Linked DNA regions of Drosophila melanogaster. The protein of the gene in region 2 interacts with the protein of the main gene of each other region in a pairwise test. Each region holds a gene or a part of one and is shown on either strand. Other genes may lie near its edges.

Region 1 (3,604 bases), on a different chromosome or scaffold from region 2:
ATTGCACCGACTTATAGATACCCAGTACGTGGTAGGTACCACCCCAAAAGGTGCATAAGTCACCCATTTTGACTTAGTGGTAAAGTAATGTGATATAATTCATAAAAATGATTACAATTTATATAATTTTATAAATATATTAAGCCATCTAAAACTTGTTAAGGATTGAGATAGTAGAAGGGTATAAACAGCCAACCGAGACAGTATACCTAATTCTTTTCCGCCACTTTGTTGACACCGGCATAGTCAATGGGGAATTCCTTTCGGCTGATGCTGATTGCCAAAAAAGATAAAAATAAATGCGGAAAGAAAAAGGCCAGAACAACCCGCGCCTAGTGAAAAAAAAAAACTGAATATCCCTATCGCACGAATTCAAATTAACCCAACATACTCACACGCCCACCAGTGCTGTGTCGTCTTAGATTGGATTTCTATAGCTGTAGTAATAGCTGTTTCAAATAATATAAATTTTAACACATTTTATACCCGTTACTCGTAGAATTAAGTAGAATACACTAGATTCGTTAAAAAGTATGTCAAGGAAGTATGTAGAAGGAAGAGTTTCTGACCGTATAAAGTATATTTATTCTTGATCAGGATCATGTCCGTCTGTCTGGTCGTTCGTATGACCGTCGAAATTTCAGGAATTATATAAGCTATAAGGTTAAGATAAAGCATACAGATTCTAAAGCACAAGTTTGTTCATCCATGCAGCCACGCCTTCCCATTAAATTCTCCAATATCTATCGATATGCCAGAAAATTATGAAATATCACGTTCTCACTGCCAGCAGCTGAGTAACGGGTATTAGATAGTCGGGGAACTCGACTATAACATTCTCTCTTTTTTTTAATTCAAAATATTTCATGCATTTAAATAGTTTTTGTAAATGCCAAACACCCCAGTGTTAAGGCAGCACTCCCCAGTTTCGATCATTAAATATCGTGTGCTGTTTTAATATCTTCCTGGTGAACTACAAGTTGCAAGCAACTAGATAGAATGGTTTTACATAACTAACAATGGCATATTCACCAAACTTCCAAAAAGTGAAATTTATTATTGGGTACAGAGTAGTTTCAAATATCAGTAATTGGTTTTTCAAATTGCTTAACTACAAATTTACAAGAACTGCGGCACAAAAACTTCAAAGTGATAATGACCCTCAATTTGTGAATTGCCAGCATAACCAAAGCATGACTATGATGGGAATATTGTCAACTTGAAATCTATTCAAATTGCCTTGACCATTTTCATCACCTTCCCTGCAATGAAATAAAATGAAAGAAAAAACTACAGATGTAATTAATTTGCTTACCCTTTGATCGGCGGAAGAACATTTTCTTCGAACTGCCCGTTCACATTGACTGGTGGATAATATCTTGCTACCACCCAGTAGTAACCCTTTTTGTCCTTGGCTTGCCCAATACCCATTTTTTTCGCATTCTTCCAAACGAGGGCGGTGAAATGACCCGTTGACATTGCAAACTGTGGCTTTTCAAAGTCGTAGTCCGCGATTTCGTCGTACCAGTCTTGAACACATTGCAGAGGGGTTTGTGACCGCATGCACAAGTTTTCACCATAGTTTTGACCGGCAGAACTTGAATGCTCTAACTTTTCATTATTGGCTAGCACCTGTTCGAGGGTATTAAAAGTGTAAAAAGGTAACATTGTTATTAACCAACGAAATACTTTAGCATATTCTTCGCATCCCTTTGTGAGTTCATCGTCCAAGGTCAGAGGCGGACTTCCATGCTTCTCCCTCAACCGATTGTGTTCATTTAGATGGTCCTCCTGAAGATCAGCTATAACCAACACCAACTAGAATACAGGAGAATAAATCAGATTTCATTTAAAATTACTAAATATTTAATTATACCAAACATAGAGCCAAAACAATCAATATGTTCACCAAAAACATGTTTTTTTGAGAATAACTATAGCACGAAAACTTTGACAAACTTATCTAGGATTCTGATTGCTTTAAAGACCTCGAAATTCTGGTGACGTAATTTAAAAGTTACTTAAATTGTAATTAGTTTGGTGTACCTATAAAGCGTATGGAGGATCCCTTAATTAATACAGTTTTTAGTCCGTGCACTTCTCATGCAGTTTGTATCATTTGTACATGAGTATCGTTCCAAAAATCTACTAAAATATGAAGTTGACTTTAGATTCGGACATAATGCATGGAAAGCTGAGTATCAAAACCAATCTCAAAAGAAACACAAATTAGACGAGGGTTAAATTTTGTTTGTCTACTTAGAAGTCTAACTTTGTGTTAAAGGAGCTGATTATTTTTAAAAATAAACCTATAGTTCTAGTGACTCTTACTGATAGGGGTTTTTCCATATCAAAAAAGTCTAGTTGCCTCAAAACTGATGCTTCCGCGGCAATTTGCTTGTTGTGTTGACAGCTGGCCTGAGGTTTCATGCTTTTTGCATTAGGGTACTGACAGATGACTTCACAGAGACACTGAAAACCAGAACGAGGAAAAGCACAATATTTTTTCGGACATTTTTTAATATATTTTGTATGGCGTATGTTTTAAAACTTATATGCAGTTTTATTTTTGTACACCACTTTTGTTTGGGAAATGCGAATAGAAATTTCTCTGTATCAAACGGGCGAACAGACTTATTGGGGGTGCAGTGTGCAATTATTTTGAGCGAGTAACCGCCACCAGGCCAAAGGATAATGCGATGAGTTCTGATCGCCAGCAACAACGGACCAGCTCCAATGGAGCCACGCCCCAGCCAGATATTAAATTTTCGCTGTTGCTCCATGGAGCTGTGGCAATAAAGGTTTGGCTTTGCCAACCATGTGCGAGGGCACTTTGAGGAGGGACGAGCTCTGGCTCCCACACATGTGGCTGATGCCTTGGGCCATCATCGTTGACAACAATATCAGTGGCTTTCGAAACAGCGGCAGCCGCAGGAGCAAAAAAGCAGCTGGAACACGGACTAGTGGAACTTACTTTGTCCTCTGCGTGGCTTTGGTTTCTGGTTTTTGGCTGTAAAATGTCAATTTGGGCCCGTGACGAAGATTTATTGTGCGCGTGTTTGATAGGCGCGCTTAAATATCCCATTCAGCACACATATTTCCACTATCAATTTCGATGGCACCAGCATGAGCATAATCTGGTTCGTCACTGGTGATGGCACCTCTGCTGTTTTCAAAACTTAGGAATGGAAATGATCAGCGTGAAATCTAGGTTTTGTACGCAACACAAAATCATTCACAAAAATAAGGTTTTTGGTACTATGGGTATTACAGATGATTTCACTGCACTGCAATTTATGCAATTTAAAAATTAAATTTATTCAGGGCTTAACAAATAAGAATACTAGTTTTGTATACATTTAGACCTAAATCCAACAACAATTTCAGTACATTCCGCAGGATATATACGATTGCTGCTTATGAATGCAGAACAGTCGCTAAAAAGCCAACGAGTTGACTCGCTGCCAAGAGCAGCATTTAAATGAAAATGGCAAATTCATGCCACATAATGGTTAAACGACATCAGAAGAGCAACACGCAAAGCGTTTATTTTTTCTGAAATTCCAGGCACGCAAGGACAAGCAGCACACACTCAAAATTGTAA
Region 2 (4,645 bases):
AAATATTTTCAAGATTAAACTGCACTGATTGGTTTAAATAGCCCATTTTTATACCTGTTACTCGTAGAGTAAAAGGGTATACTAAATTCGTTGAAAAGTATGTAACAGGCAGAAGAAGCAGCGTTTCCGATCCAGCCGAGTCGATCTGGCCATAGATATTAGAGTCTTTAATCTTATATATCTTACGAACTAAAGCATACAGATTCTAGACGACATAGACAATTTTTTTGACCCATGTTACCACGCCAATTTCAACACAAACAAGCTGTAGAAGAAGCGTTTCCGAACATCCAGCCGAGTCGATCTGGCCAAAGCTATTAGTGTCTTTGATCCGGCCATGGATATCTAGACACCTCACGAACTATAAAAGCTAGAAGATTAAGATTAAGCATACAGATTCTAGAGACATAGACGCAGCGCAAGTTTGTTGGCCGATGTTGCCAAGCCAATTTTGACGCAAACAAACTGGCCAAAACTGTCCACACTTTTGAAATATGTTTTGATATTTTTATTAGTCTTGTAAATTTCTATCGATTTGCCAAAAAAAATTTTGGCCACTCGCACTCTAACGCAATAAAACCACCCAAAACGGCCTCGACCACATTTTTAAAAAACTTTCGATATTTTTTCATAGTTTTATATTTTGTCGAATTCTTTCTCGAATTCCACGAGAATCAGATACCATTTACTCAGCAGGAAGTGTGAAAGATTTCAATAAGAATAACCAATTTTTTAAGAATGTTCGGCATGTTTGAGCGATTTTGGGTGGGGGGTTTTGGGGATTTTGGGTTACAAGACTAATAAAAATATTTTAAAATATCAAAAGTTTTCTCTCCGTAAATACCTCTGGAAGCTGCATGTCTAATCTCAATTCTCTACCTTTAATAGTTCTCTTCATACGGACATAGAATCTGCATGTCTAATCTCAATTCCCTACCTTTAATAGTTCCTGAGACCGAGGCGTTCATACGGACATGCCCAGATCAACTCGGATATTGGTCCTGATCAGGAATATATATTCTTTCTAAGGTCGGAAACGCTTCTGCTAACAGTTACGTAGTTTTCAACAAATCTGGTGGCTATTAAAAACTGAATTAACATAAATGAGTACGAATCAAAAATATGTTTATTTGATTGAATTCTGGTAATGGTATTGAGGCATACTAATAAAAAAACGAACATATATTTTCCCGAATAAGTAAGTTAAAAATATATTTTTATTAGTTATCCGATCACTAATTTTTAAAAATACAACTAAGGCAAGTGCAGTTTTCTCACCAACACATAAAACGTGGACATTTTAAATTTACAACAAAGTTCCAAACGAGTTTATATACATTTACAAGTTTATTTAAAATCTAGTTTTCAGCATACGAGAACAGCAATTCCTATCTTACAATATAAGGAATATTTTTATTTTTTAGCCAATTCAGCTGATAGCCAATCAAGTCCTTCATAAAGACCGTGCCCTTGGGTAGCACATGTAGACTGAATAAACCACTAAAAATGGGTAGATATAAGTAAACATTTTTGGGACAATTACCCCTAAGACATACGTGGCGATTCCTTAATTGGTTAAGGCGCAACTTGTCCGTAAGCTCGGCAGCTGTCATTGCATTCGGTAGGTCCTGTTTGTTGGCAAAAACCAAAAGTACCGCGTCCCTAAGTTCATCCTCCTGGAGCTGTGGGAAAAATAAACATGGAATTGGTTGACACGTATGTATATACTTTTAATTAAATAAAATGAGTACCATGTTCTGTAGTTCTCTTTCAGCTTCAGTTATACGATCGCGGTCGTTGGAATCCACTACAAATATAAGACCCTGTGTATTTTGGAAATAGTGTCGCCACAACGGGCGAATTTTGTCTTGGCCACCAACATCCCAAACGGTAAAACATATATTCTTATATTCCACAGTCTCGACATTGAAGCCTATGGTTGGTATGGTGGTTACAATTTCACCCAGCTTTAATTTGTACAGAATAGTCGTTTTTCCAGCAGCATCCAAGCCAACTGCGTACAAAAATATTTAAAATTATGTGCACGTTGATTGCAAGTACTTAAAAATTATGCGCGAACTAAAGGCTTATATTTAGTGTATCGTATTTTGAACATACCCATAAGAATACGCATTTGTTTTTTTCCAAACAAACGTGTCAAAAGACTAGATATTGTTAGTCCCATGTTTAATAAGAAACTATTTTATTTCGTATAGGAAAAAGCTTGTCTTCAGTAACTTCAGTAAATTGACGTGTAAACTAGTCATTCGATTAATAATGCTGTACTTTTCAGAAAAGTTAAACGATGGTTAAAAATACTGTTTTCTATAAAATACTAATAACAGTATGTTGACTATACCCTAAGCATGGTCTGATGAAAACAATAAAAAGAAACACAAAACTACATCGATAATACAATGTTTTGACTGCGCCATTAAGTCGAATGTCGATAAAACCATTTTCGTGTACATTTTTTAAGTGAAATATTTAAATTGACCTAGAAAGGCTGCCCCCAAGGGGTTAGTGAGCATATAACTTAGACTCGGAGTTACACAATTTTTAAAAATCACAACTGTTTTTTACGAATGTGCTCTGTAGGACTATGGTATTATTCGCGAATTCTAATTGCCAAAACAACTTTTTCAAATCAAATTTAAAAATCAAATTTAAAAACGATGTTACAAATTTTTCAAACACTATAAAGCTGCCTGAAAACAAAAAACTTAGGTTCTTCCTCTCTATTAACCAAAAATTAAGACATTTTTATTAATCAAAGGTCTGCTATTGCCAATATGTCGATATCAGGCCAAGATAAATGACAATCACTATATTTTGGTTGCGATTTGCAATAGTTAACAACATAAATATTCTGCCTCTGATCAAAAATAAAAAAAAAATGTTGAGTCTTGGGATATCAAGGAATCAAAATATCTATATATGAAAATATCCTACCCAAAAATTCCAGTCATTTGTAAATCAAAACAGCGTAAGCACCCCTTAACTTTCCTTTTAAACAAACCATGGTATCACTTAAAATTCGATTAAAATGTTAGAGCATAGTCTCCACAGGGCCTTATATGTTGTTTTTTTTAATCACTTTTCAAGTATTAACCACTTCCACACAAGGATCTGAAAATGTCGGATAAACGTTTCCAGTGTATTGACTTCTGTATTTAAACTTACAACTAGTTTTTCAAACGTCACAAGTAATTATTTTGCTGACAAAAGTAAGAAACTATGTAATGAAACAAAAAAAATTATTTTCTGAGATTTTGTTAATGTGCCCCGTCTAATTAACTTGTACTATTTCATATTTGAGTCGATTTAAATCTATGCATATGTAAAAGTTATAATCAAAGTATTTAGGTTACGCATGATTCCCTTCGGATAGGTTCGCTATTCGTTCAGTTAGGCAATCCAAGTTCATTACAGAATGTGTATCTCTTGGATACAACACATACACAAGATTTTCTCATCCATGCATATTCATATATACTAATGTAATACATATATGTAATCCAACAATCAGTTTCACTGTGGTACATTTTATAATGTTTAATCATATATAGTCACGGGAACTAGAGTTTATACACGGTCCTCGAATAAAATGTGTTTTGGAGCTGTAAGCTAATCAACAAAAAATGAGACTAACTAAAAAAAAGTGCTACTAAAATTCCCAGACTTTCCACTTTCTGTCCTACATATATATAATTAAAGAAAATCCGAACCAATTTGAATAACTTATCTATTTTATTCTAACACCAACAACAACTTTAAAAAGTTTTTGATTTAACGTAAAAAATTGGCCGTAATTCTTGTTGCTTTGGTTACATTCTTTCTATTGTATTGTACCAACGAAAAAAGTAGAGAAGCACCGAGACGGTAGTGGAATTATTCCGGAACACTTTCGATACTCTTTTTCGAGTGGAAGTGGTTTCATGAGGAGGAAATTTGGTGTTCCTTTTTGCCGGGCTCTTTCATACTTCCCGTGCTGTAGGAACTCCGTGAAAAGCTTCTGTAAGCATTCCCTAAATGTCTTCTGGATATATTCCGAGACTATATTACAATACTTTCGTAAACATTACTCAGGATTGTTTTCTAGATACTTTCCAGAATAAATTATCAGGAAAATTTATATTGAGTGCTTTGAAAGAAGAAGTGTTTCCAAAGTATAAAACAAAATCTCGGCTTAACCAATATTTAATTTTTTATTATTATGAACTGAACTCTGTAATACTTCTTTTCCTTGAACGTTTCTTTTTCTCTCAAAATTCATTCATTGTTTATCCTTTCATAAGAGCCCTTGAAGCGCAAGACTGTGTAATCTTAAAAAAATGTTCAGAAATAAATATAATTTTATGTGTCTGCAAAAAATTTATTAAGCAACAAAAAAATTTGTCGAATTTCGTTTTCGCGTTTTCAACATATTGTATAAAAACTGCGAAAGGGTGTAGGGCCTACACACGACAAAACTTTGTCTTATTTTACCACGTATTAGAAAGAAAAACTACTCTAAAGTCGAATGTGTCATCACAGAGTATAAAATTGCAATGTATTATATTATTATTATTTTTATCTTAAAGAACGGAAAATAAACATCTACTAGGTACATGATTTTTAAAGATTTATTGATACGAGTTTTGGG
Region 3 (4,170 bases), on a different chromosome or scaffold from region 2:
CAGCACGCTTAAGCTTAAGTAGTTTTATCACCTTTTAGATATTAAATTGATTGACACCCTTAAATCGAGATTTTGTTAGATCTCCATTGTTTTGCAAAAGAGCCTCAACAAACTTTTGGCACTTTATGATGGCATGTTGCGAACTGATAATAGGCACAATGTTTTAGTTTCACAAGCTCCGTTTCGTTATGTTTTGCCGACGCGTGTCGTTCCAGAAATGAGATGATCTGAGGACTGGAGATCAGAGGGCACTCAGAGCCACAGAGCAACTGTCACAGCGAATCTACGGATCCGCAAGTCCGACCAATGGATTAAATGACGGCCGACTGAAAGAACATTTTTCCAACTAAACAAAACTTGTGAACAGAAAGCGGTGAGCTGTAAGTGACACACACATACATGTTCAGGAAGAGAGAAAATTACACAGTGCACATCGACGATGCTCTCACAGATACTGTTACCGAAAGATACAACTTGCGGCTGTGCCGCGGAAAAAGTTCAATTGAAATGATTCGTAAATTGAAAGCGAAGCGGAAGATAAGTGCGATAAGCTCATCTTATCAACGAAATCAGAAGGCAGAGACACTTCTCAATGCAAGCGACCTTGAGTCGAAGTCGGGGAAGGGGTGGCGCCTGCTTGATATTCTGTGGGCCCCCGTGTGGTGTCGCAATATCGATAGGTTAGCCCAGAGAGTTCTGATTTATCAGATACGACTGTCACTGAATCTCCCTGTTTAAATAGACAGCGCAAACAATGGCTTTCGTTTGTATTTTGGCTCGGATTCGAGTACAAGGTGTCGTATACGTAATATCTCAGTGTTTACCATCGACTCACGCGCATTTTGGCTGCATTGTGCAAACATAAATAATAAATAAATTGTGACGTTAATAACAAATATATATGTCCATACAAGCATCGCTGTGCAGTCAACGGTATGGTCATGCGTAGTTAATTTTGACGGCATTAAGCCAATTAAAAGCGTTCACTGCCACCATAAATCTTGGGCTATTGTAATGGCCTCACTTGAACCTATTTAAATTTATTGAAATTCTAAAAAATCCGATAATACTGGAAATTTTGAACAACGCTATAGGGCCAAGAACTGGAACTTGTCGAGCTCAGCGATGGGAACACGATAGCTGGGGTCGCTCACAAGCAGTCCGTCGATCAACTGGGTAGCCTCTGGACTCATGACACTTTCCATATCCTTGGGATACGTGGGTCCACCGCTCATGATCGCTGCATAGATCTCCTTTGAATTTTTACAGGCACTAGCAAAGGGCATTTTACCGCAGAGCATATAAAACAGAGTAACACCCAGCGACCAGGAGTCCACCTGATAATCGTATCCCGACATTGCGATCATCTCGGGTGCCATGTAGCATGGAGTGCCGCAACGGACGTACAACTTGCTGCCACGATAGTAAGTGGCCAAGTCAAAGTTCGCCACTTTGACCATTTTAAAGTTCCACTTGCCGGATGAAGAGCAAACCAGCAGATTCTCCGGCTTGATGTCCCGATGAATCACCTGAAGTTGGTGCATATGCGCCAGTGCCGATACCGTGCATCTCATCACCGATCTGGCATCTGCCTCCGACAAGATACCGCGCTTCTGAATTACTTTCTGCATGTTACAGTCCAGGTGCTCTAAAACCGTGTACATATAGCGCTCATCCTCAACCGTGTACATCAGCTCGATGATGTTTGGATGCGACTGAAGCTGTCGCAGCACCTCTGCCTCCATATAGGTATCTCCGCGGTCGTTGCTTTGAGTCTGCTTGTTCACCATCTTTACGGTGCACTTCGTCCTGTTGGCCCTGGTTTGCCCGCGATATATCAGCGTCCTTGTGTTGTGCTCAACGGGCTCTATAGTCTCTATGTAAAGCTGTATGGCCTCGGGCAGGTCGTGGGACTTCATGGACTCCAGGGTTCCACTGTCTAAATGATGTTGGCCCCAACGTTTACAAGAGTCCACCATTCGCTGGAAGTCCTTGTTGATGCTGTACTTGACACAAATTATTTCTTCGTTCTTACAGCAGCAAATCACAATGTCGGTTTCGCGGAAACAACTCAGCGATGTTAAATGCGATCCGTCAGTCCGGCGGAAGTGCGCGATTGCTGATCTCAAAAGCACATGGCGTTTTAAAGACTCGGTGACTCCTTGCAGAAGAGCCGGAAAGTCCTTGAAGTGGGCTCGAGAGATGACCAAATTAACGCCCTTGAAGTGTCTATCTCCGTTCCGCAGGAAGCACACCCGCAGAGCTTTTTTGTGAAGTGGAGGACCTACCCTCCTGGAGCCAAGAGAAGTTGATTGCTCTGACATAACGCGCTAAAACGTTAAAAATCTTGTAAAACTAATGTAGTGTAAAAAAATATACGAAAGAATGCTGAGCTTCTAAGAAAAATCTGAAATTGTGCTGTGTAACCTGGCTTAGCTTCCCAAGTTTGTGAAGGCGATTGCTTGGCCATCTCGGTTTCCATGCGGTAGAAACAGGCTTGTTTCTCTCAATGCTCTTCCGCAATTCCCTGCCCTGGAATAATTTATGATCCACTAAATTGTGAATGGCAGCGACTCGACGCGGATGAAGAGCGCCAAAGCCGTTGGAATAATTGAATAATCAGCGTTGTCGCCCAGTGTGTGTGCGACCCCCGATACTTGGATGAACTCGCAGCTGCCCCCTGACAATCCGTTGGCGGCCACTTAAATCGCGTCAAGTGCAAATTTGTAGTCCATCAGAGTGCCACATGGGGATCCTGAGGTGTAATTTGTTTTAAAATTCACGCAACGGCTATTTCTGTAATAGTCAACAAATCGATTCGGTTGACTTTCTCAATTAACCACCTGTTGAGAAATTTGTATATTTATTGCTAAAATGATGCGAAGTTGGACGTCAGGCCACTGGTTTTTATCTGGATCACGTTTGATTTATGCACAGCATTTTGCTTCTCAGGGCATATATCTCATATACATAACGATTTTATTGGATTATTTATAGGCGTCAGATTATGAATTTCAGCAATGCGTTTTCTCACAAGTCTTTTCTTCTATTCTTTTATTTCTATAGTCTATTTTTTTCGTGCACGCCCTAAAAGTAAACTCACAAAAATTCAGGAAAAATTTTATTTTCCTTCTTAAAACTTTTAATAATGCTAACATTTGTCCTGTTCTAAATATTCTAAATTGTAATTTGAAATTACCTCCCCTTCGTGGTAATTGCATGTATTCTTTCAGCATTCTTTCTCCCCATCCTGATAACTAAGGAAGTCGGTCTTTGTTATCCTGATTTTTAAGGATAAGTATTGATATGTAAAATCGGGATAGCATACATATAAAAGAATGTGTAGAATGCAATGGGTTCTTGTATCGGCTAACTTTTTTGATAGATTGTACATAACTCTGATTTTTTACATGTTTGTATTCTACATGTATAAGGAATGTAAGTTACAAGTTGATTGTGTATTAGAATTTATAAATTTACGTGAACTTACGTTGGATTAATTTTGAGAGACGATAACTACGCTTGTTGAAATTGTAACTTCCCCAAATTAAAATAATTTACAACAAATTCAAAGACAACAGCTAAAATATAATATGTTTAATTTACATTAACATCGTGTTTTGGATGTTTGCATTAGATAGACTCTGACTATTTACACCTGGTTATTGTGGATACACGTGTAGTAAGGAAAGGCATCTCAACGTTGGGTTATGAAAGTGAATAGGTGTTGGTGTGAATAAATGCTGGAACACTTACAAAATAGTTGCTAACAATATAGCTAAAAATATAGCTAACAATTTCTACGAGCTACGAAAATTGTACAATGAATTTTGCATTTAAATATTCTGGGTTTCGTGCGATCTTTCACAAAATGGCAATACGAAAATAGAGTGTGTGAGGGTGAGTGTGTGTGGTGTGTGTGTGTGTGGTTTTGTGAGGGTATTTGGATGTCTTTTTACATGGCAGCCCCATTGTAATGCTGATACATCTCATCCCAGAATCTCTGACGCTCCGGCTCGGGATTGGTTTTCATCGCCAGATTGGCTGAGATATCCATATAGTTGAGACTGTTCATCACATTGGTGGGATCGATTGGTGCCCACTTGGTGGTCAGCATAGGATCCTCGGAATCAGGCGTAGGAGAGCTGTAATTAGCATTGGTTAAATTTT

What was found.
Region 1: the proteins of Arf4 (region 2) and CG31482 interact in a two-hybrid assay, tested with the Drosophila melanogaster proteins (one large-scale study listed by BioGRID).
Region 3: the proteins of Arf4 (region 2) and CG10177 interact in a two-hybrid assay, tested with the Drosophila melanogaster proteins (one large-scale study listed by BioGRID).

Annotation. Positions count from the first base shown.
Region 1 is NT_033777.3:6,599,624-6,603,227, reverse strand, and holds CG31482 (uncharacterized protein), read right to left. Parts: upstream 1,987-3,604; 5' UTR 1,919-1,986; coding exon 1,877-1,918; intron 1,819-1,876; coding exon 1,690-1,818; intron 1,633-1,689; coding exon 1,316-1,632; intron 1,263-1,315; coding exon 1,163-1,262; 3' UTR 1,027-1,162; downstream 1-1,026.
Region 2 is NC_004353.4:1,121,805-1,126,449, reverse strand, and holds Arf4 (ADP ribosylation factor 4), read right to left. Parts: upstream 2,284-4,645; 5' UTR 2,186-2,283; coding exon 2,119-2,185; intron 2,015-2,118; coding exon 1,752-2,014; intron 1,683-1,751; coding exon 1,557-1,682; intron 1,501-1,556; coding exon 1,414-1,500; 3' UTR 1,125-1,413; downstream 1-1,124. UniProt on the Drosophila melanogaster protein: GTP-binding protein involved in protein trafficking; may modulate vesicle budding and uncoating within the Golgi apparatus.
Region 3 is NT_033777.3:23,519,120-23,523,289, forward strand, and holds CG10177 (uncharacterized protein), read right to left. Parts: upstream 2,465-4,170; 5' UTR 2,325-2,464; coding exon 1,089-2,324; 3' UTR 1,027-1,088; downstream 1-1,026. Other genes in the region: CG10175 (uncharacterized protein), read right to left, coding at 3,956-4,145.